Drosophila melanogaster: one gene and its partners. The protein of the gene in region 1 purifies or fractionates together with the protein of each later gene. This does not show direct contact. Each region holds a gene or a part of one and is shown in the gene's direction. Other genes may lie near its edges.

Region 1 (3,744 bases):
TGGTCCGCTGTGCGCGGCAGAAGCCGCTGCTCCTATGGGCGCCCGCCTGCCACATGAGCGGTCTCAGTCCGCTGAAGGAATATGAGAAGCGTGTTAGTTCTGGCCAACTGATGACCGACAACAGGCAGCTGCAGACGATGAAGGAGCTGGATGCGCTGTACCACAAGATTCAGGGGTATAAACCCAGCTACAGGGCGGGCGGTGGCGGCGGAGGATTCTTCAGTTCAATCTTTGGTAGGAAATCTTCCACCGAAGATGACGATCAGGATGATCCTAACGCTGGCAGTCACGCTCCTCAGGGTCTGTACCTGTACGGCAGCGTGGGTGTGGGCAAGACCACTCTGATGGACCTGTTCTTCGACTGCTGTACCCAAGTAAGTGATGAATGAGTATTTCTCGAGGCCCATATTCACATGACTTGTGACTTTCAGATTCATCGAAAGCAGCGCGTCCATTTTACTTCGTTCATGAACACCGTGCACACCCGCATCCACGAGGCCAAGCAGAGACAAGGACCTGTTGACCGTGCCTTTAATTCTGAAAAACCAGCACCATTTGATCCCACAAAACCGGTTGCTGACCTGATTGCCAGTGAGTCCTGGTTGATTTGCTTCGATGAATTTCAGGTGACGGACATAGCCGACGCCATGGTGCTAAAGAGATTGTTTACGCACCTTTTCCGCCATGGCATTGTGGTTGTGGCCACCAGCAATCGGCATCCAGAGGATCTGTACAAGAACGGACTGCAGCGCACGAACTTTCTGCCCTTCATTGCGTTACTTCAGCGTCGCTGTAAGGTGTCCCAGTTGGATTCTATTGACTACCGACGTATAGCCCAATCTGGTGACACCAACTACTTCGTCAAAGGCCAAACGGATGCGGACGGCAGTATGAATCGCATGTTCAAGATCCTGTGCGCCGAAGAAAACGATATTATCCGGCCGCGAACCCTGACTCATTTCGGAAGAGATCTGACCTTCAATCGCACGTGTGGCCAGGTACTGGACAGCACCTTCTCGGAACTCTGTGATCGCGTAAGCAAAGTATTAATACATAATCTTACCCATACTCAACATATTCCGCATTAGCCTTTGGCTGGCAGTGATTTCTTACAGATATCGCAATTCTTTCACACCGTCCTCATCCGAGATGTGCCCCAGCTGACCCTTGATGTGAAGGCACAGATGCGACGATTTATCACGCTCATAGATACCCTTTACAATAACCGAGTGCGTGTGGTGATATCATCCGACGTTGCGCTGGAAAACTTGTTCAGCTTTACTGGAGGTTCCAAAACTCTGTCCGATTCTGAGCGAACCCTAATGGACGATCTAAATATAGTAAGTTAGTAACTCATTCTTCTACCATTAAAATCAACACGTTTTTGTTTACAGAAAGAATCCAAAGCCAGTTTTTTCACCGGCGAGGAAGAGCTGTTCGCCTTTGATCGCACACTATCTCGACTCTATGAAATGCAGAAGAGGGAGTACTGGGAGCAGTGGGCCAAACATCGATGAAAACCCCTTGTCACAAAGCAGTAGTTCAATTAGCGCTATAAAAATTACATGTTTTCTACCTCGCTGACGCGGTATTTTAAAATTCACAATATCTTGTACTTACAAATTTCATATCGAAAATGCAATATTAAAATTAGGTGTATTTCGCAAGTATTAAGACAATAAAAAATAGACAAAGTTACCTAAGCGATTGGCTTTATTAAACAGCAAGCTGTGGAGTTTTACATAACAAATTTACTTATTGTTAATATCGGTGATCTTTTAACGGAATCCATCTCATAAATTATCAGTTAATGCGAACGGTCTGGCAACGTCGTCATCAGCTGTCCAACAAGCAAATTGATAAGACTCTCCATGTTCTTCGGTTGAGGTTGAGTAGAAGATTAGAGGTCAAGATCGGCGATCGAACGATTTTATCTTCAAGTGGAATTTAGTCAGCTAAATTTTCGTTTGACAGCAATGAGCAGCATGGATGTGAAGGAATTGGAAGTAAACAAAACCCTGCCCTATGGTAAGAATTCGCACAATAGTACGAATTTAAATATATACATATATATTTCGCAGATCCCTCCCTGCTTAAGGTAAACATCTCGCTGCGGCAGGTCGAGGAGATCGCTTTGACGGTGTCCCAGCGATGCCATGTCACCGGAGCCAACGAAATCGCCTGGGCGCTGAGGGCTCTGATGCTGACAGATCTTACCACCTTGGCGGGCGATGATACGGCTGCCAATGTGCGGAGACTATGCCTACGCGCCTGCTATCCCTTCGAGCCGCAGTTCTTTGACAAGTTCTTCGACCGGGCTCTCATCCCAGAGATGCACACGGCCGCCGTTTGCGTTTATCCCGCCAGGGTAAAGGACGCCTATTTAGCTATCCAACAGTACGACAAACTGGATAAGGTGGCTATTGCAGCGGTGGCCACGGGATTTCCCACGGGCCAGTACGGCCTGCAGACCCGCCTGCAGGAGATCAGCCACGCCATTCTTGCTGGAGCCACAGAGATCGACATTGTGATCAATCGCCAGTTGGCCCTCGTTGGCGACTGGGAGGCCATGTACAACGAGGTGGTCCTTATGCGCAGTGCCTGTGGACAAAGGGCTCACCTAAAAACAATTCTGGCCATCGGGGAGCTGGGCACCATGGATAATGTGAGATCAATATCGCCTAATCCCTATACTAAAATACCATTCAAATCCATTAATTTCTTTAGGTTTACAAAGCAGCCATGGTTTGCATGATGGCCGGAGCGGATTTTATCAAGACCTCAACGGGAAAGGAGACAGTCAACGCCACCCTGCCCGTTGGCCTGGTCATGATATTTGCCATTCAGGAATTCAAACGACGCACGTGCCAGATTGTGGGCCTTAAGCCAGCCGGAGGAGTAAAGACTGTACGAGATGCGATCGCCTGGATGACGTTGGTCAACGAAACTCTTGGCATCCGCTGGTTGCGTCCCGAGAGGTTCCGTTTCGGAGCCTCCGGATTGCTGGACGACATTGAACGCGTTGTGCGTCAGGGTGTCAAAAAACTCGAGGAGGATGAGGCTCAGAAAAATGTGCCCGTGTCTCGCGAGGCTGCTGCTGCCGAGACCTTCTGCAAGGAGCTGCGGAAGAAGTAGGAGGAGGCCAACTGGTCGAATCCGTATTCTGGACTTTACTCACTCTAAGTGCATTTATTGTAGCTTTTTTATACAACTGACTAAAACCTATAGCAAAAAAAACCGCATCTATGTTCGACGTTCTTCCTGGACGGGAGACTTGAAGTTAAAGGCTAACTGCGCAGGAGCCGCCATCAAATCTTCCTCGGCCTGCTCTTCGCCATGCTGCAAGAGCTCTGTGGGCGCAGCTGGCTCCTTGTGGGGCTGATTATCCGGAATCTTTACCTGCATGTCCACCGCAAAGAAGGAGTCGTCGAAGTTTATTCGGTTGCGCTCGTCCTGCTCCAGATACATGGCTTTGGGCGCAGTTGCTCCGCCCATGGCCCTCTCGTAGGTGTTAAGCCACTTGAGATTGAGGTTGATGTGCTTGTTGGCAGCGTTAAACTTCTTTGGCTTCTTTTTTGGCTTTTCCGCGTAGTAGTTGTGCTCCGTCTTTTGCGGCGGAGGAGCAATCTTCTCCAGCATTCGGCTCTTGGCATCCAGCTTGGGCTCCACGAAGTCGTATAGAGGTAAATAGAAGTTATACGGCTGCTCCGTTGGCGGCAGCATTCGCTGCTGCGGCTGCACTTG
Region 2 (3,145 bases), 6.4 Mb from region 1:
CAGCGGTAAATGGCGTTGTGCAGTTCGAAGTACTTGTCGCAGATCTCACGGGGAGTAAGGTTCTCTGCCAGTGCCTTGTTCTCGGTGGCCGTACCGTACTCATCCGTGCCGCAAATCAAGAGTGTGTTGTAGCCAGCAGAACGCGAGTAACGAGCATAGATATCCGCAGAGAGAACACAACCAATGATGTTGCCCAAATGTGGCACATTGTTGACATAGGGAAGCGCCGAGGTGATGAGCACGTTACGCTCACCGGGCTTGGGAAGAACAGTTCGCTCCTCCTTGATTTCCTTTGGAGCTGTGTAGGTAAAGGCAGCCTTCGCCGCGCTTATTTCCTCATTCGTAACAGTATCCGCCACCGTTGGCGTGGTATCCACAAGAAGTTTGCTTGCATCCGCCAGGCTGAGACGTTTTAATGGTACATGATGCAAACCTCCATAGCGATTTGACTGCTGCAGAGCATTAAAGCTTAGATCCTTTAGTGGCTGTTCGGCAAGAACTTCCTGAACTTCGGGAAGCGCTTTCACCCTGCCATACCAATCCCTCAAGTTGTCCACGTTCTGTGCTCCCTTGAGAGTGCCATCGGGAGCAAGGAGCGACCAAATGGCGATGTCGGCGGCACTGGGTTTGTCGCCAGCCAGGTAGGGGGTAGCTTTCAGTTTGTCATCCAGCTTCTTGACCAGAGCATTCAGCACGGGCAGCGCGTTTGCATCTGCCTTGTGGCCCACAGCCATGTGGTGGGCCAAAGCCGGGGCCAGCAACGTGGCAGACCATTCCAGCCACTAGGGAGAGAGCACATACGGGAATTAGTTTAACCTTCAGGGGTCAATGGGCCAATAAGTAATTTTCGGAACCCATACCTCATCGCGCTGCTGCCCCTTGCCCACGAAAAGGTACTTGGCAATGGCCGCCGGCGAGAACAAACGCAATCCGTTGTCCAGCTCCAAAGTGGGCAGCACCAGCAAGTCCTTGTACTTAGCGTCTGCAATTAACAATAGTTATTGCATCAGAAATGAGTCATTTTCAGAGCATTCCCCAGAATTCGAAGGGAATCCGTGGCAGAACTCACCATTTAGGTTAACCAACTGCACCTGCACCGGCTGCTTGGCAAATTTGGCGAGCATTAGCAGCTGCAGTCCCAGCGGGTTGCCATCATTCGTGTAGATTATCATTTTGCCTGGATCGGACGCTAATTCTAATTCAATTTACGTGGCAAAAAGGGTTAAAAATCCAACCAAAGTTTTGACGATGCCCACGAGAAACTATTATTTTGGTGATGGGACAGATGGAAAAGCTGTCACGCCGTCGGTGATGTTATCGATTACTTATTTATTTTATATGTCAAATAATTTGAAATAAACAGTTGGCATTAAAGTAACAGGTAATATAGTAGGTCATATTTATTACATATTAATTGTAATATGACTAATAATAACAAGACTAATTCATATATGATTTTCTGGCTATTTTTAGCGTTTTCCGCACCACCGATAATGTCATCACCAGCGACCCGAAACAGCTGATTTAAAAAAAGCAGAAATGTTTATTTACATTTGACAGCAAAAGATTGAGCTTGTAATTAGTTTAAATATTTAAGTAATCCTATCCACTTAAAAAATGGGTGAACGCAAGGGACAGAACAAGTACTATCCGCCCGACTATGATCCGAAGAAGGGCGGTCTCAACAAGTTCCAGGGAACCCACGCCCTGCGGGAACGGGCCCGCAAGATTCACCTGGGAATCATCATCATCCGCTTTGAGATGCCCTACAATATCTGGTGTGATGGATGCAAGAACCACATCGGCATGGGCGTGCGCTACAATGCGGAGAAGACCAAGGTGGGCATGTACTACACTACGCCGGTTTTTAAGTTCCGGATGAAGTGCCACTTGTGCGACAACCACTTTGAGATCCAGACGGATCCCGGCAATTTGGACTATGTTATACTTTCGGGGGCTAGACGGCAGGAGAACCGCTGGGATCCCTTGCAGAACGAACAAGTTGTACCGGAAACCAAGGAGGTACAAAAGCGTCTCTTCGACGATGCCATGTACAAGTTGGAGCATCAAGCCAAGGATGCTAAGGCAGGGGCAGATGCCAGGCCCGTGCTCCAGAAACTAGTGGAGCGCAACATGAGCGTCTGGGATGACAGCTATATGGCCAATAGTCGCCTACGCGCCGAGTTTCGCCAGCAGAAGAAAGAGATCAATGGTCAGCAGGAGCTGGATCGACAGTTGTTGGCCAAGAGCAGCTTGGACATTGCTCTCCTTCCGGAGACCACACAAGATCGCGAAATGGCAGCCCTGATGAAGTTGCAGACGAAGTCAGCTCTGGAACGGGAATCCGAGCAGCGGTTGGAGCTGCTTATGCGTCCAGCGCTTCCCGGAGCAACAGTCACCACATTTGGTGGACTCAAGCGACAAAAGGTTCTGAATACCCAGCTCCAAGTACAGGATCTTGGCATACGGCGTAAAAAGTTGGAAGAAACTACATCTTCAGCCACGAACGAAAAACCCATAAGCTTAGTGGGGGATTACTCCTCCTCAGACAATGATTCCAACGGCTGATTTTATAATGCTTTCTTTATAAATAATTAAATGATTGTATAAAACAAAATAAGTACAAATAAAAAGAATTCTAATATAATCCGTCATTGGGATCCGCGTGTTCGGCGCCTTCATCACCATTATCCTCATTAACCTCGACGGGTTCCTCGTTGATTTCACCATCTATCGTTTTGTAGAGCACCGCTTGAATGCGTTTGCACAACTCAACTAGCTGGTTGTTGTTGATCATGTCGTTGACCAAATCCTCGACCAGGCGCAGTTTGTTGTAGATCTGATTGCTGGCCTCCATGATGTCCTCCCGCTTCAGGCTTAGGTTCTTCATTTCATCAATCAGCTCTTTGAGCGCATCATCATTGGCGTTGACTGGTGATCGCTCCTTGGCGAATTGGCGCGGCTTTATGGGCTTTGCCAACGGCGCATTGGCCAGCGACTTAATGTTCTCCAAGCCCGGAGCCTGCGAGTCGAAGAACTTCTTGAACCACTGCAGGAACTCAAAGTTGTCCTGGAAGCGACCCTTGATCAGTCGATCGATTGGTACCGTTTTGTCCAGCTTCAAGCGATTGAAGGCTTCCTGGAA
Region 3 (6,948 bases), on another chromosome or scaffold:
ATCTATAAAAAGATAACATCGGTGTAGCCCCTGAATCTTTGCAATAATTAAAATAATAACAGTAGAATGGGCAGGAATATATAACATTTAAAGATTATTAAAAATTCCAATACGGACTACATATATTGCACGAAATCGATTGTTGGCTAACACAAAGAGAATGCTGTGCCCATATGGCAGCAATAAAGCTAAGTCAGATTCGCTACTGATTTCGAAATGTGTACTTTCGTTTAATGCTTCCAGATCTATTGGTGGTTTGGGGATGATGTCACTGCTGGTGGTCTCACCGTTGGACAAGCAGAGTATATACACCTGGCAGCCTTGGCGCTGCGTCAGCGAGTAGATCAGCGGTCCGAAGAACATGCACTCGTCATCCGGATGGGCGGTGATCAGCAGGACGCGCTCCATGCACGCCGTTTTGGGCAGCCGGACGCTACGCAGCCGTATTCCGGACTGAAGGGCCTGCTTCAGGCCGCCAGGACTCCGATTGCCATCCGAACTTGGGTTCAGCTCTGCCCCCTCGCCCGACCCGGCATTGCTGGTGTCGTTGCCGTTGTGGTGGGCGTCCAGTCCCGATCCCGATCCGGCTCCCGAGAGCCAGAAGGTGAGCTTGTAGAGGCCCAGGCATACTAGCAAGTACACCGCACAGGCGATCAGTACGTGCTCCAGTGCTTCGGCGGATGATGACCTGATACGGCAGTAGATGGCCTGAGGATTGGGGACGAGCTGCTGCACCTGCTGCTGCAGTTGGCGCCACGGGGATGTCGATGCAATGCTGCTTGATATGCTGGCCACGTACTCGCTCAGCCAGTTAAATCTCATCGCTCATTGCGTCCGGCCAAGGGCAAGATTTTTGGCGAGAAATTCTTCACCAAAAATGGACATGCAGCGCAATTTGGCAGCGAGGAAAAGCGGAAAAGCGGCGATAACGGTGCTCGGGCGGTTACTTAAACTATTTCACTAAGTGGATGTGTTTCTTAATCGGTAGTTTAATACTTCAAAACGTTTGGTTACGAGCCCGCGCGCCGCCTAATCGGCTAATCTCTGCATTTTATTCGAAAACTTTACGCGTTTTCGACTTTCGGGGGCAGCAGCTAGAGATGGGCAACTGGCGTGGTGCGTGGCAGGTGCGTGACTCACGCTGACTCATTCACGATTTCTAATCAACCTGTCCGGTGCGCCGTGCAACTACAAAGCTTAAATTATCTAATTGGCACTCGAATAAATTGATAAACTCTTTTCTGCCATTCATCGTTCGCTGGCAAGCTACCATTCGTGAGAATATATCAGTCCATCTCTATCGCTCAGCTGTTGGACAAAGTGCCCAGCGGTAGGGGTACTCTTGTCACTGTTTTTATAAAATCTTAAGTTTTTTTTGAAAACTTAATCTGAAATATAAAGAATTACAGTTATGAACATTTCTACTTTTTGAAGAATATCAATACTTTGTTGATCATAGATAATAACAAAATTACTAAAAACTACTATTAGAAATTCACTTTTGTACAAGACATATTCTAACCTTAAAATTCTAAGCAGAATGATTGAATGGAATTTTAAAAGTTTCCCAATAAGAGTATCTTGATGGCTTAAATTTGTGATTTGAGCGAAGACCCCTAATGTCGGCATGCTCTTCTCGAAAAATACCAGAAAATACTGGAGAAAATACAGGGGCCGCTCTCTTCTCACCGAATATGCAGTCTGAGGTTTTTTTTATTTTGAATAAAATTTAAAGTCACTAGTTTCTATGAAAATAAGCACATAATTAGCCTACGACCGTGTGATTCGAGTGCCCGAGAGCCAGCCGCCCGTCCCCGACCGCCCAAACACCGAGGGCAACCCAAGGAGAGCCCCCAAACGATTGCAGGAAATTAATCAACGGCAGACGACAGCGTGCCGCAAAACCCAAAAGAGAGCGAGTCTCAGTTCGAGGTGCATGCAGCACGTTGTAATTAGGTTAGCAGCATACAGCAGCACCACATAACACGATAACATGGCACAGCAGCAGGGCATGGACTCGGCCCTGTTCGAGCGGCGACTGCGGCCGGTATACGGTGAGTGTGTTGTCCGTGTCCACGGCGGAATGAGGCGCTCCATGTGCCGGGTCCACAGTCTCACAGACTAACATCCCAATCCTTTGCAGACAACCTGGAGGTGGGCAACAATCGCAAGGCTCTGCAGGAATCCGAGAAGTTGCTACGCAAACATCCCAACCTGCTCTGCGCGCGGGCATTGAAAGGCCTCTCGCTCCTGCGACTGGGACGCTATGACGAAAGCCACGGATGCCTCCAGACCGTTGCCGAGGAGAAGCCCACGGACGACTCCACGCTGCAGGTGCTGTCCTTCTGCTACCGCGAAATGGAACAACGTACGTATGGGTAAACCACCGGCAGGGCTGATGTACTGAGCCCACGTGGAGCCACCGTTTGCTGGGGATTAGGTTCAGTCAAATGCAAGATTGATAACGTACTAAGCATGGTCTAGGAGGTACATTACCTCAAGTAGAAGTTATTTAGGAGTATGATATAACCAACTAGCCATAAACTCTTAAAGCACGAACCTAGTCTCTCGTTCTAACGCGATGAAGAAGGGCACCAGCCATCAGAAATAACTAATTTGTTCACAAGTAGCTCCTGATAGGCTATAAATTATTAGTTTCATTTATGAATTTGACTTGTGAAGCACACTTTTAAGTTATGAAGAACCTTTTGTAAGTTAATATCCAATTTTAAATCTAAAAACGAAATGCCTGTGTGAGGCAAGGACTCATTGTATGTATAGATAATAATTAAGGATTTAGATTTCTCCTTTCAAATGTGTAAAGGTTACAGGCATTCTAGAATTGAAATTTTATAAAAAGAATAGCTTCCTTATCCATGAGTTAAATGCTTGTATATGTATGTATATGTATATACAAAATATTTTAAAGTATAGATTTAAAGATAATATTAATATTTACTTAAGTTATTTAAATACGAAACCATGGTCGATCAAAGGATACAATTTGTTGAGCTTTTTTAAATTCGATTGACGAATACAAAGCAACATTTTTAAGTAAGAATGTTTCTTAGCCACATCTGTGAATCCCCTAGAGACGCCCCTGCTACGCACACGAAGTGGCCACAATTCATATTTTCGTATTTTCTTGGCACGCGCACCTCGCCCGACTAATTAAAATCGCATTCTCTTAGTCGGACGACGAGTGGCAAGTGCGTGCCAACGATCTGAATATATAGATACCTGTACCTGCGAAAGTTGAAATCGCTAATAATATATAAATATCGGCCTCTTTGCAGTGGACAAAATTGTGGAGCTGTACCAGCACGCTGTGAAGCAGAATCCGGGCAACGAGGAGCTCCTCGCCCACCTCTTCATCTCACATGTGAGGGTGGAGGACTACAAGGCGCAGCAGGCGGTGGCCCTGCAGCTGTACAAGGCGCAGCCGAAAAATGCCTACTACTTTTGGTCGGTGATCAGCGTAGTCTTCCAGGGAATCCGTGGACCGGAATCGGCGCTGCCCGAGAAGCGGAAAATCTACTTGGGACTGGCGCAACGCATGGTCGACAAGCACATCAAGGAGGGCAAAATGGAGACGGAACAGGAGGCCTTCCTCTATCTGCACATACTTAAGCTACAAAACAAGTACCAGGAGGCGTGGGAATTCCTTACTGGTGAGCTGTGCGCGAAGCTGTACCCCGGTGCTCCAGTCAGCATGAAGTTCGAGCTGCTCAAGGAGCTGGGAAACTGGCGGGAATTGAATGAGCTGCTGCAGCAGCTGCTGGACGCAGAGTGAGCTTAAACAATAAGTTCATATGTATAACTACGTTTTCTAAGTTTTATTTTTTATCCCCAAGTCGTGATCGTTGGGACTTCTACAAGGAGTATATCCAAAGCTCGTTCGAGCTGCTAAAACTTACGCCGCAGGGCGTGGAGAACGGGGATAAGGACTCTCTGGCCAGGTGTCAGGAGTTCCTTCAGCGCATCATTGACTCCTCGGAGCGCAAGAAAAGGGGACCCTATCTGGCGCGGTTGGAGCTACACCAACGCATGCGAGCGGAGCAATTGCCGGCGGAAAAACTAATCGGTGACTTTGACGAGATGGTCATTGAGTACTTCCGTCTGTTCGGCGACAAATCGTGCTGCACTCACGATATCGCCTTGTTCTTGCCTTCGATCAGCATGAACCAGAGGCAAGCGCTAGCCAGCAAGTTGTTGTTGGAGAGCGGAGTAACCTCCACGTCGCTTCCAAAAAATGTAAGTACGCAAAAATTATAAATTCAACTTTGAGTCTAACGATTGTTGGTATATGATTATTGTAGAAAGAGCAGTTGCAAAAACATCTTTGCGCTCTGCAAATCTCTCGAATGTGCGGATCCCACATGGATCTGCCTGCGGACCACCTGCTTGCCTTCTATACGGCGCTCAAGCTGCACTACGAGCACGGCAGGACTACTTTCGGTAAGAAGTTGCTGGCTACGGAAATGGGACCATCGGATGCATACGCACTGCTGGCGGCAAATGTAATGTACGATCTGAGTAGGCGGGAAAATAAGTCGGATCACCTGTTCGAGGCGCTGTGCCTGCTGCAGTATGTTCTGCGAAACAGTACGAGTAACTTCCACGTGAAACTGCTAAGTCTAAAGATCTACCATCTGTTTGGCTGCCAAGTGGGCGCACAGGAGATGTATGAGTATCTGGACATTAAGCAGATTCAGCTGGACTCCATGGGCTATGTGCACTGCCAACTGTTGGCTCTTGGAGGTCGCTTCTCGGGCAATCGTAACGTGTACGATGCCACCCTAAAGTTTTTTACGAACAGCTATAAGGAAAGGCTGGAATACATTGCGTTAACATATCGCTTTTGCACGTTTTCAAAAATGGAGGAGTTCATGAACTTCAAGGAGCGGTTAACCAACAGCTTGCAGTACGTGGCCTGCTCGGTGGAGGCGCAGATCTGTGACTTGGTTAGTTGCTATGGCAATATCACGCAGAATCTATCCGCATATGTGGCGATGAGTATTGAGCCGGCGGAGGACCGGATCGCTTGGCATGAGTTGAGCGACAATCGCGACTTAGGGGCCATTATCCGATGGGATCCGCTACATGAGGTAGACGCTGCGGAGGAGCGCAGGGAGTCGTTCGACCAGGAAGTTGAGGTGCTTCAAGTACGTTCGCTGATGCTTCGACTCTTTGCCTCTTTCATCGACTTGTACCACGGCGCGGGCTTAAAGGATTCGCCAGCGGGAGCAGAGACGGCCACCTTGGAGCTCCTGCGGGAGTCCTGGACGGGATTATTCCAGAGATTGCGCGTGATGAACTACAAGCCGTTGGCGCAAAAATTTCTAGTCAATCTGCTGCCCACACGTCTTCACCTGCTGCTCGACATGCCATACGAACGTTTCTTTGACGACCTTGCCCAGTTGGTCCTTGACTTGCAGAGCGGGTCGGCAAAGCTGGCCGAGCAGTGCAAGCGGGTGGGTGACAATGTTATTGCGACTATGGAGCTGTGCGTGCAGACCATCAACGAGAGCAACGAAAGCAACGGCATTGACGGTCTGTGGAAGCGGCGAGGTCAGCAGCAGAAAGTGGCAGCCAGTTTAGAGGTAAAATGTTGGTAGTAAAAGCAGGTAATCTTAAATTCACCAATGTTCTTATAACTTTTCCAGATGCTATCGCTGTACGCCTTCCTTCTGTCCGTGTTGAACGACAAGCTGCAGGTAAGCTCAAAGACCAAGACCAAGAAGAAGCCGGTGGAAAACAAGGTGGATGGACCGCAGCCGATCAGCGAGAAGGAGCGCAGCCAGATGTTGCAGGAGCTGATGCGACAGCTGAAGCACAAGTTTGAGGCCTGCGACACGGCCATACGTAAGTGGCTCTAGACAAATCGCCCAAAGATAAACTAAGGTATGATTCTGCAATCCTTAGGCTCCTGGAAGGCGCCCGTTTTGCCACGCGACCTCAGCTCCTTTATGTCTGACATGTCGCTGAAGCCGGAGGTGGAAGCCACGCTCATCGGCGACGTTTCGGCCACCTTTAAGGACTCGCACGAGCTGATGGTCACCGAGCTGCGCAATCTGCTGAAGGACAAGATACGCATGGTGGCCAAGTAGATGCTTCTTTGCTGTGCAAAGGCCATCAGCCAGCCAGTCCGGTCATCGTTGCCCCCACACAATCCAAGTTCATAGTTTGTTATTTAATTTTGTTAACGGATACAACCGACCTCATAATCCTCCTACACTACAATTATCTCGAACACCAGCGCCAAGTCAGCACTTATCAATCACTTTTCGGCATTTCCCTCGTACAACACATAAAAGTTGTAAAATTTTGTAAAACAAAAATTAGAAAAGAACAAAACAAAGAAAAAAGATTGCGTACCGCTTTGCAAGTAAGTCAAGTAAAAGAATAAATTGTAAAAATGTAAACAGTTTGTTTTTTTTTTTAGAATGCTTTTTAGTTAGTTTCATGAAATCTTTCTAGCAAACTTTATATAACAAAGGTCGTATATACAAAGTTTTAGGCTTTAAGCAAAGGTAAAATGTCGCGATCTTATAAATATTATATTATTAAGCATTAGCTACAGTAATCCCCACTTTAAAGGTACTTAGATAGGCAGTCAGTCGTGGATCATTTATATGCTGTTGCGTTTGCAGATGCGCCACGAGATTGTGAATGCGAGCGAAGCTTTTGTTGCAGAGTTGGCATCTGAAGTAATAATAGCAACGTGATAAGTTTTAGGTTTGATTTAGTTTAAAACCGAAACCACTTACATGTGGGGTTTTTCGCCCGTGTGCGTCTTGTAGTGCATTTTAAGGACACTGGCATATGTGAACTTCTTTCCGCAGGTCTTGCAGGCATAAGGACGCTCATTTCGATGGGTTCTGTGGAGGAAATACAATTAATTAGCTAGTCTCTACTTGTAGTTAATTAATAGAGGTTCCAAAAGAT
Region 4 (5,424 bases), on another chromosome or scaffold:
GAAATACCCACTTACACACGGCTTCCAGAGGGTGATGTCCACCTGAAGCACATTGAGACTGTGGATGGGGAGGTGGAAAACGAAGAGGAACTTGAGCGGGAGGTACCCAAAAAGCGCAGGACCAAGTCCAAGAGTCAGCTAAAGATCATTCAAAGGGAGGACAAAGAGGATGAACAGGAGCAGGAACCGGAGCAAACAGAAGGGCGTCCCAAGTTGCGTCTACTGCCCACGGAATTCTTTGAGGCCCTACCAGCTCCCAAGCAGAACAAGCGATTAAATCTGGGAGCCACCTTGAACTCACTGCTATTTCCGGAACCCTTCTCCAGCAAGGCCACCATGGCCAAGGCTAGTCTGTCCCAAAAACCCAAGTCTGTTGAAGAGTCCGAGCCCGAGGAGGATGTGCAACCGGTGCCAAGTGCTAGAAGGCGTCACTCCAGGCTAGGTCACGTGGCCAACGACTTTTTGCAGGCCCAAAAAGAGCTTGGAAAGCATTTCCTCAGCCACATCAACGAGCATGAACACGAGTTTTCTCTAGGAGATGAGGGCATGCGGGAAAGTTCCCTGGAGTCGGCGAATGTCGGTAGGAAGTCCCTCATACAGGATCATTTTGAGGGAAAGAAGGCAACGCCTACTCTTCATTCGAAATTGCCTCAAAAGCCAGCCGATGAGGGTATCACTTCCTGGTGGGATTTACCAGCTATGAGAAGGCGGCGTGCCGTACTTAACACTAATTCCCTGGCTGAACTGCCCTCCAATGCCATAGACAAGGCAGATCGCGATGAGATGATGCCGCTGGGAAGGTACACCTACTACGAGTACAAGATGGATCACGAGGCAGAGAAGGATGCCAGCCAGCCCAGGGAGGAAAAGGAATCCAAGATCATGAGGATCAGCAGCAAGAATTCGCTGGCCTCTGGTCGTAGTCTGACTAAACTCTCCGAAAGCCTCGTGAGCACTATGAAATCAAAGGTATCTCGCTTCATCAACATCATATCCAACCATATGAACGAATGGTACAACACCTTAACCAAGCACTTGGAAACGGATGCGGAAACCCAACCACCCCGCCGACAAAACAGCATTGAGAAGTAGAATGACTTATATTACCATATGACCTTGTTTAAACTGCCAGCATTATAACCGAATGTAAATATATATTTATTTTCAAACATTACTGCATTCAAAGGAATTATATTTGAGCGATAATTCTAAGGGAATTATATTTTTCAAATAAAGCTATATACAGGACTAAGGCAACGAACTAGACGGGCTTAGACTAAGCTTGTGGTAGATTGTTGAGCATTCTTTATTGTACTTGTGAATATGTCATCTCTATAATAAAATGCATTGAATTGAAAAGAATGTTGATATATTTCAGTGGTATCTCGGTTAATGATATATGAAATGAAAAATAAAATAGATTTTTATCTGACATGTTTATACAATTACCCGTAGTACTTCAAATAGTAATAAAGTCTTGGTCATTAAAAAAGTTAATTACTATCCATTATTATTTTCTACATTATTTCAAGCTCATCATTCGAGCTGCATAACTAGAAAAGAAGCTTTGCGAAGCCCCCGACAGGTGGCTTTCTAGACACACTTTCTTGGAATCCACTACCCAGATCTTTCTCTTACCGCTGGTAACTATGTATTATAGTTTGGCTCCACTCTGTGCTCGCTCTTTCGCTGCGAGTGAACCGTTCATGAAGACGATCCCAAAGAGGAGCCCGGAAAGCCGCTTGGCTAACCTGTTACCATGGCTATAAGTGCAATAACAAAATCACCGCGACCACGGCAATACCAAACCGGTGGAGACGATCGCGCATTCTCCGCAGCCTCGGCTTTATAATCGGAATTCCGACTTCAGTCTCCGATTAGTCGTTCAAGGCGAAGGTTGTGGCACTAGCTCTTGGATCCACCAATTCCATTTCGCAGCGCAGATATAGTCCAAAGTGCAGGTCAGCAGAAGTTGGAATAAATTATAGATCAGCCAACAGCCAAAACAGGTGAGTTTGCACTAAAAAACTCGTCTCCGACTGGCAAAAGTTGAGGAACAAAACCCAAAAACGGGTCACTTCTAGACTTTTTCATACATCTATAGATCTTGTTTCTTTTCGAGACTGCATTGTAGGGCGTGGTTCGGTTGGGGGGGTTCTTAAATGGTGCATGCAAGCGTAACCAGAGCCAGTCTTCGAGTCTTGAGGAAAGCTCTTGGAAATCTTTGTGACGTGGACGGTGGGGGAAAAAAAAAACAAACAGAGAAGAAAAAACCAGAAACTCAAAACGACATGAAACTTCAGACTTTCTTTCTTGTTCAACCTTCTTTCGTTTGGGCTGTCAATGAACTTGGTTGAATGTTATTTTTTTCGGCGTTTCATCATAATAAGCCATAATTACGCACATGTGTGAAAGTGAAAGTGTAAGTTTTCTCAACAGTTTTCGAAATTGATTTATTGACAGTCACTGATAAACGATTTGAATTGTGAAAACCTTCGCCGACTAACCAATATCCCCAAAACCATGAAACCCCAAAACCCAAAACCAAACTCGTTTCGTTATGCCCTAAGACAATCGTCTGGCTTTGGCAGCTTCGGTTATTATATAATCTGATTTGCATGTTGACACCGATATATACGTATATGAAGATACAATATATAGTATACACACCTCGGCATATTTGTAGGATGGGTTTCATCTTCGGTTGGCTGTCGACCGAGCACTATGTGCGCGACATCTTCCTCATGACTTCAGTGGCCGCCATAGTGGCCACCCTGATGAGCATTCGGTTCTATCTGCGCATCACGGCGGGACGATGTTTCACCGAGGTAACGAACGCACCTCACCCAATCCAAAAAACCAAGTCCCATGCTCCCCAGAATCGCGACACGACTCGAATATTTCGCACTTTATATGGCTGTTGCTCCCACTTCCGCTGCGAATTCTTTTCAGATCTTGTAGATGAGCTGTCATATACATACAAATGATGGTGGGATAGTTTACTAAAACAGTATTCGGACACGACCTTAAGCTTATTAATCGCTCAAAACTTTTACAAATTTTATATATTCATATAAATGCGAACTATTCAGATAAACATTACAGATCCATAATTGAAAATGGTTCAGCTTACCGCTCTATAGAAAACTACATATATCACTATCTGGAAAAACCCCATATAATTAAAACGATTCTGTAGCATTCCAAGCATTCCGACTATGGAAATCTTTTAACTATATATGAAATCACCACTAGGAAAACTTAACGTGTTTCAATCTTGTTATTACATTGGTCAGTTGTGACGCGTCGACTTAATTACAGATTAAATTAGATACCTTCTGAGAGGCGAGGTACGTCACATCTCTGAGCTACGATTACCACCTGACCGAACATTGTTCGTATCCCACAAAACATCTAAGCTTCTGGGTATCTCGGTTACAATCTGTGAGATCGCTTACCTCTGATTCACAGAAAGCTCTCAGCACTCGAATGGCAATTAAGCGACCCGTTAATGGGTCTGAAAACTAAGATAGCTTCCGTTCCAGACGAACTGCGATTACTGTGACTGTGAACAAGCGCCAACTAATTAGTATTGTAAACATATTTTCGAACCGCCCTCGTCCAATTTTCGATTGCAGCGCCGTATTAAATGATTAACCTTCGACATTGATTACAGACAAAGATGGAGGGCAAGACAGTCATTATCACAGGCGCCAACAGCGGAATTGGCAAGGAGACGGCCAAGGATCTGGCTGGACGTGGAGCCCGCATCATCATGGCCTGCAGGAACCTGGAGACTGCCAATGCAGTGAAGGGTAAGTGGACCAAGACAATGCCTATGAGGTTATGCCAAGGATCTGGCAGGACATGCAACACGGTCAAATTCCGATAACTGGTCTCATCCAGTTGATTATAGACTCTGGCAAAAACTGCTTACTACCAATGATCTTTTTTTATTAAATATTTACGTTGTAATTACTTTAAAGAAAGTATCTTATAATATGTTGGCGTTGCATTAACCATGTTTTTTTTTACATAACCGAATTTTGTAATTTATTGTTGATTTCCCACAGATGAGATCGTCAAGGAGACGAAGAACAACAAGATCCTAGTCAAGAAACTGGATCTGGGCTCCCAGAAGTCCGTCCGTGAGTTCGCCGCTGACATTGTGAAGACCGAGCCCAAGATCGATGTGCTTATCCACAATGCCGGCATGGCTCTGGCCTTCCGCGGACAGACGAGTGAGGATGGCGTGGAGCTGACCATGGCCACCAATCACTATGGACCCTTCCTGCTGACGCATCTGCTCATCGATGTACTAAAGAAGAGCGCGCCGGCTCGCATAGTCATCGTAGCCTCGGAGCTGTACCGCCTGTCGTCGGTTAACCTGGCCAAGCTCAATCCCATCGGCACTTTCCCGGCTGCCTACTTATACTATGTGTCCAAGTTTGCGAACATCTACTTTGCCCGGGAGCTGGCCAAGCGGCTGGAGGGCACCAAGGTTACAGTGAATTTCCTGCATCCCGGCATGATCGACTCGGGCATTTGGCGTAACGTTCCCTTCCCCCTCAACTTGCCCATGATGGCCATCACCAAGGGATTCTTCAAGACCACCAAGGCCGGCGCCCAGACCACTATCTATTTGGCCACATCCAATGAGGTGGCCAATGTGTCTGGAAAGTACTTCATGGACTGCAAGGAGGCCACCCTTAATGCTGCTGCCCTCGATGAGGAGAAGGGTCTCAAGATCTGGGAGGAGTCCGTGAAGATTGTCAAGCTTACGCCCCAGGATCCCAAAATCTAGACGGGTGTCTGCGGCTGAGAGCCAACGCACAATTTACTGATTTACTTTTCTTGTTTTTAAGGGGGAGTTTACTGTAGCCTAAGTTTTCTCAATAAAAATGATTTTGTATAATTAAATGTGGCTCGTTTTCAATATGATATATTTGCTGTCAGAAAAAAAAGCACATCAAATTTCTGACTATATATAATATATTACAAAGATCTTGGTTGTTATATCGGTTGCTCGTGAGTAAAAGGGTATACTAGAATCAAGACTAGAATATAGTCTGGATCAAGATCAATAGCCGAGTCGATCTGGCCATGTTCCTCTGTCCGTCTGAATGTCGAGATCTCAGGAACTTTAAAAGCTAGAAGGTTGTGATGCAGCATACAGATTCTAGATACATAGACACAGCGCATTCACACTAACTGAGCAACGGGTATCTGTTAGTCGGGGAACTCGACTTCTTATTGGCACAGGATTTCGGCTTGGATTTGCAAGGGGACCGTTTTTGTATTACATGTAATATATATTGACAGTCACTCGATAAATCTTTTGCTAGGTAACTAGATATGACAATTCTGACAAGTTTTGAACTTTTCAACTTATTGCTTCTCGTTATTTATTTTGTAGCTGCAGCT

Evidence for each region.
Region 2: the proteins of Dera (region 1) and CG15084 purify together in Drosophila melanogaster (affinity purification with mass spectrometry, with the first as the bait; one large-scale study listed by BioGRID). This does not show direct contact.
Region 3: the proteins of Dera (region 1) and psidin purify together in Drosophila melanogaster (affinity purification with mass spectrometry, with the first as the bait; one large-scale study listed by BioGRID). This does not show direct contact.
Region 4: the proteins of Dera (region 1) and CG7675 purify together in Drosophila melanogaster (affinity purification with mass spectrometry, with the first as the bait; one large-scale study listed by BioGRID). This does not show direct contact.

The regions. Positions count from the first base shown.
Region 1 is NT_033778.4:12,423,735-12,427,478, forward strand, and holds Dera (Deoxyribose-phosphate aldolase), read left to right. Parts: upstream 1-1,748; 5' UTR 1,749-1,976; coding exon 1,977-2,028; intron 2,029-2,081; coding exon 2,082-2,665; intron 2,666-2,727; coding exon 2,728-3,135; 3' UTR 3,136-3,241; downstream 3,242-3,744. Other genes in the region: CG8520 (uncharacterized protein), read left to right, coding at 1-374, 432-1,034, 1,089-1,340, 1,395-1,517; CG13154 (uncharacterized protein), read right to left, coding at 3,244-3,744.
Region 2 is NT_033778.4:18,849,319-18,852,463, forward strand, and holds CG15084 (uncharacterized protein), read left to right. Parts: upstream 1-1,525; 5' UTR 1,526-1,617; coding exon 1,618-2,568; 3' UTR 2,569-2,638; downstream 2,639-3,145. Other genes in the region: MetRS (Methionyl-tRNA synthetase), read right to left, coding at 1-782, 861-982, 1,070-1,172; CG18190 (uncharacterized protein), read right to left, coding at 2,639-3,145.
Region 3 is NT_033777.3:20,020,061-20,027,008, forward strand, and holds psidin (phagocyte signaling impaired), read left to right. Parts: upstream 1-1,643; 5' UTR 1,644-1,993; coding exon 1,994-2,054; intron 2,055-2,143; coding exon 2,144-2,368; intron 2,369-3,296; coding exon 3,297-3,789; intron 3,790-3,854; coding exon 3,855-4,254; intron 4,255-4,319; coding exon 4,320-5,603; intron 5,604-5,666; coding exon 5,667-5,865; intron 5,866-5,925; coding exon 5,926-6,110; 3' UTR 6,111-6,422; downstream 6,423-6,948. Other genes in the region: PIG-L (phosphatidylinositol glycan anchor biosynthesis class L), read right to left, coding at 288-822; CG4424 (uncharacterized protein), read right to left, coding at 6,567-6,705, 6,771-6,881.
Region 4 is NT_033777.3:18,377,617-18,383,040, reverse strand, and holds CG7675 (uncharacterized protein), read left to right. Parts: upstream 1-1,862; 5' UTR 1,863-2,009; intron 2,010-2,304; exon of another isoform or gene 2,305-2,422; intron 2,423-2,686; 5' UTR 2,687-2,687; coding exon 2,688-2,828; intron 2,829-3,676; coding exon 3,677-3,815; intron 3,816-4,073; coding exon 4,074-4,804; 3' UTR 4,805-4,917; downstream 4,918-5,424. Other genes in the region: CG14309 (uncharacterized protein), read left to right, coding at 1-1,092.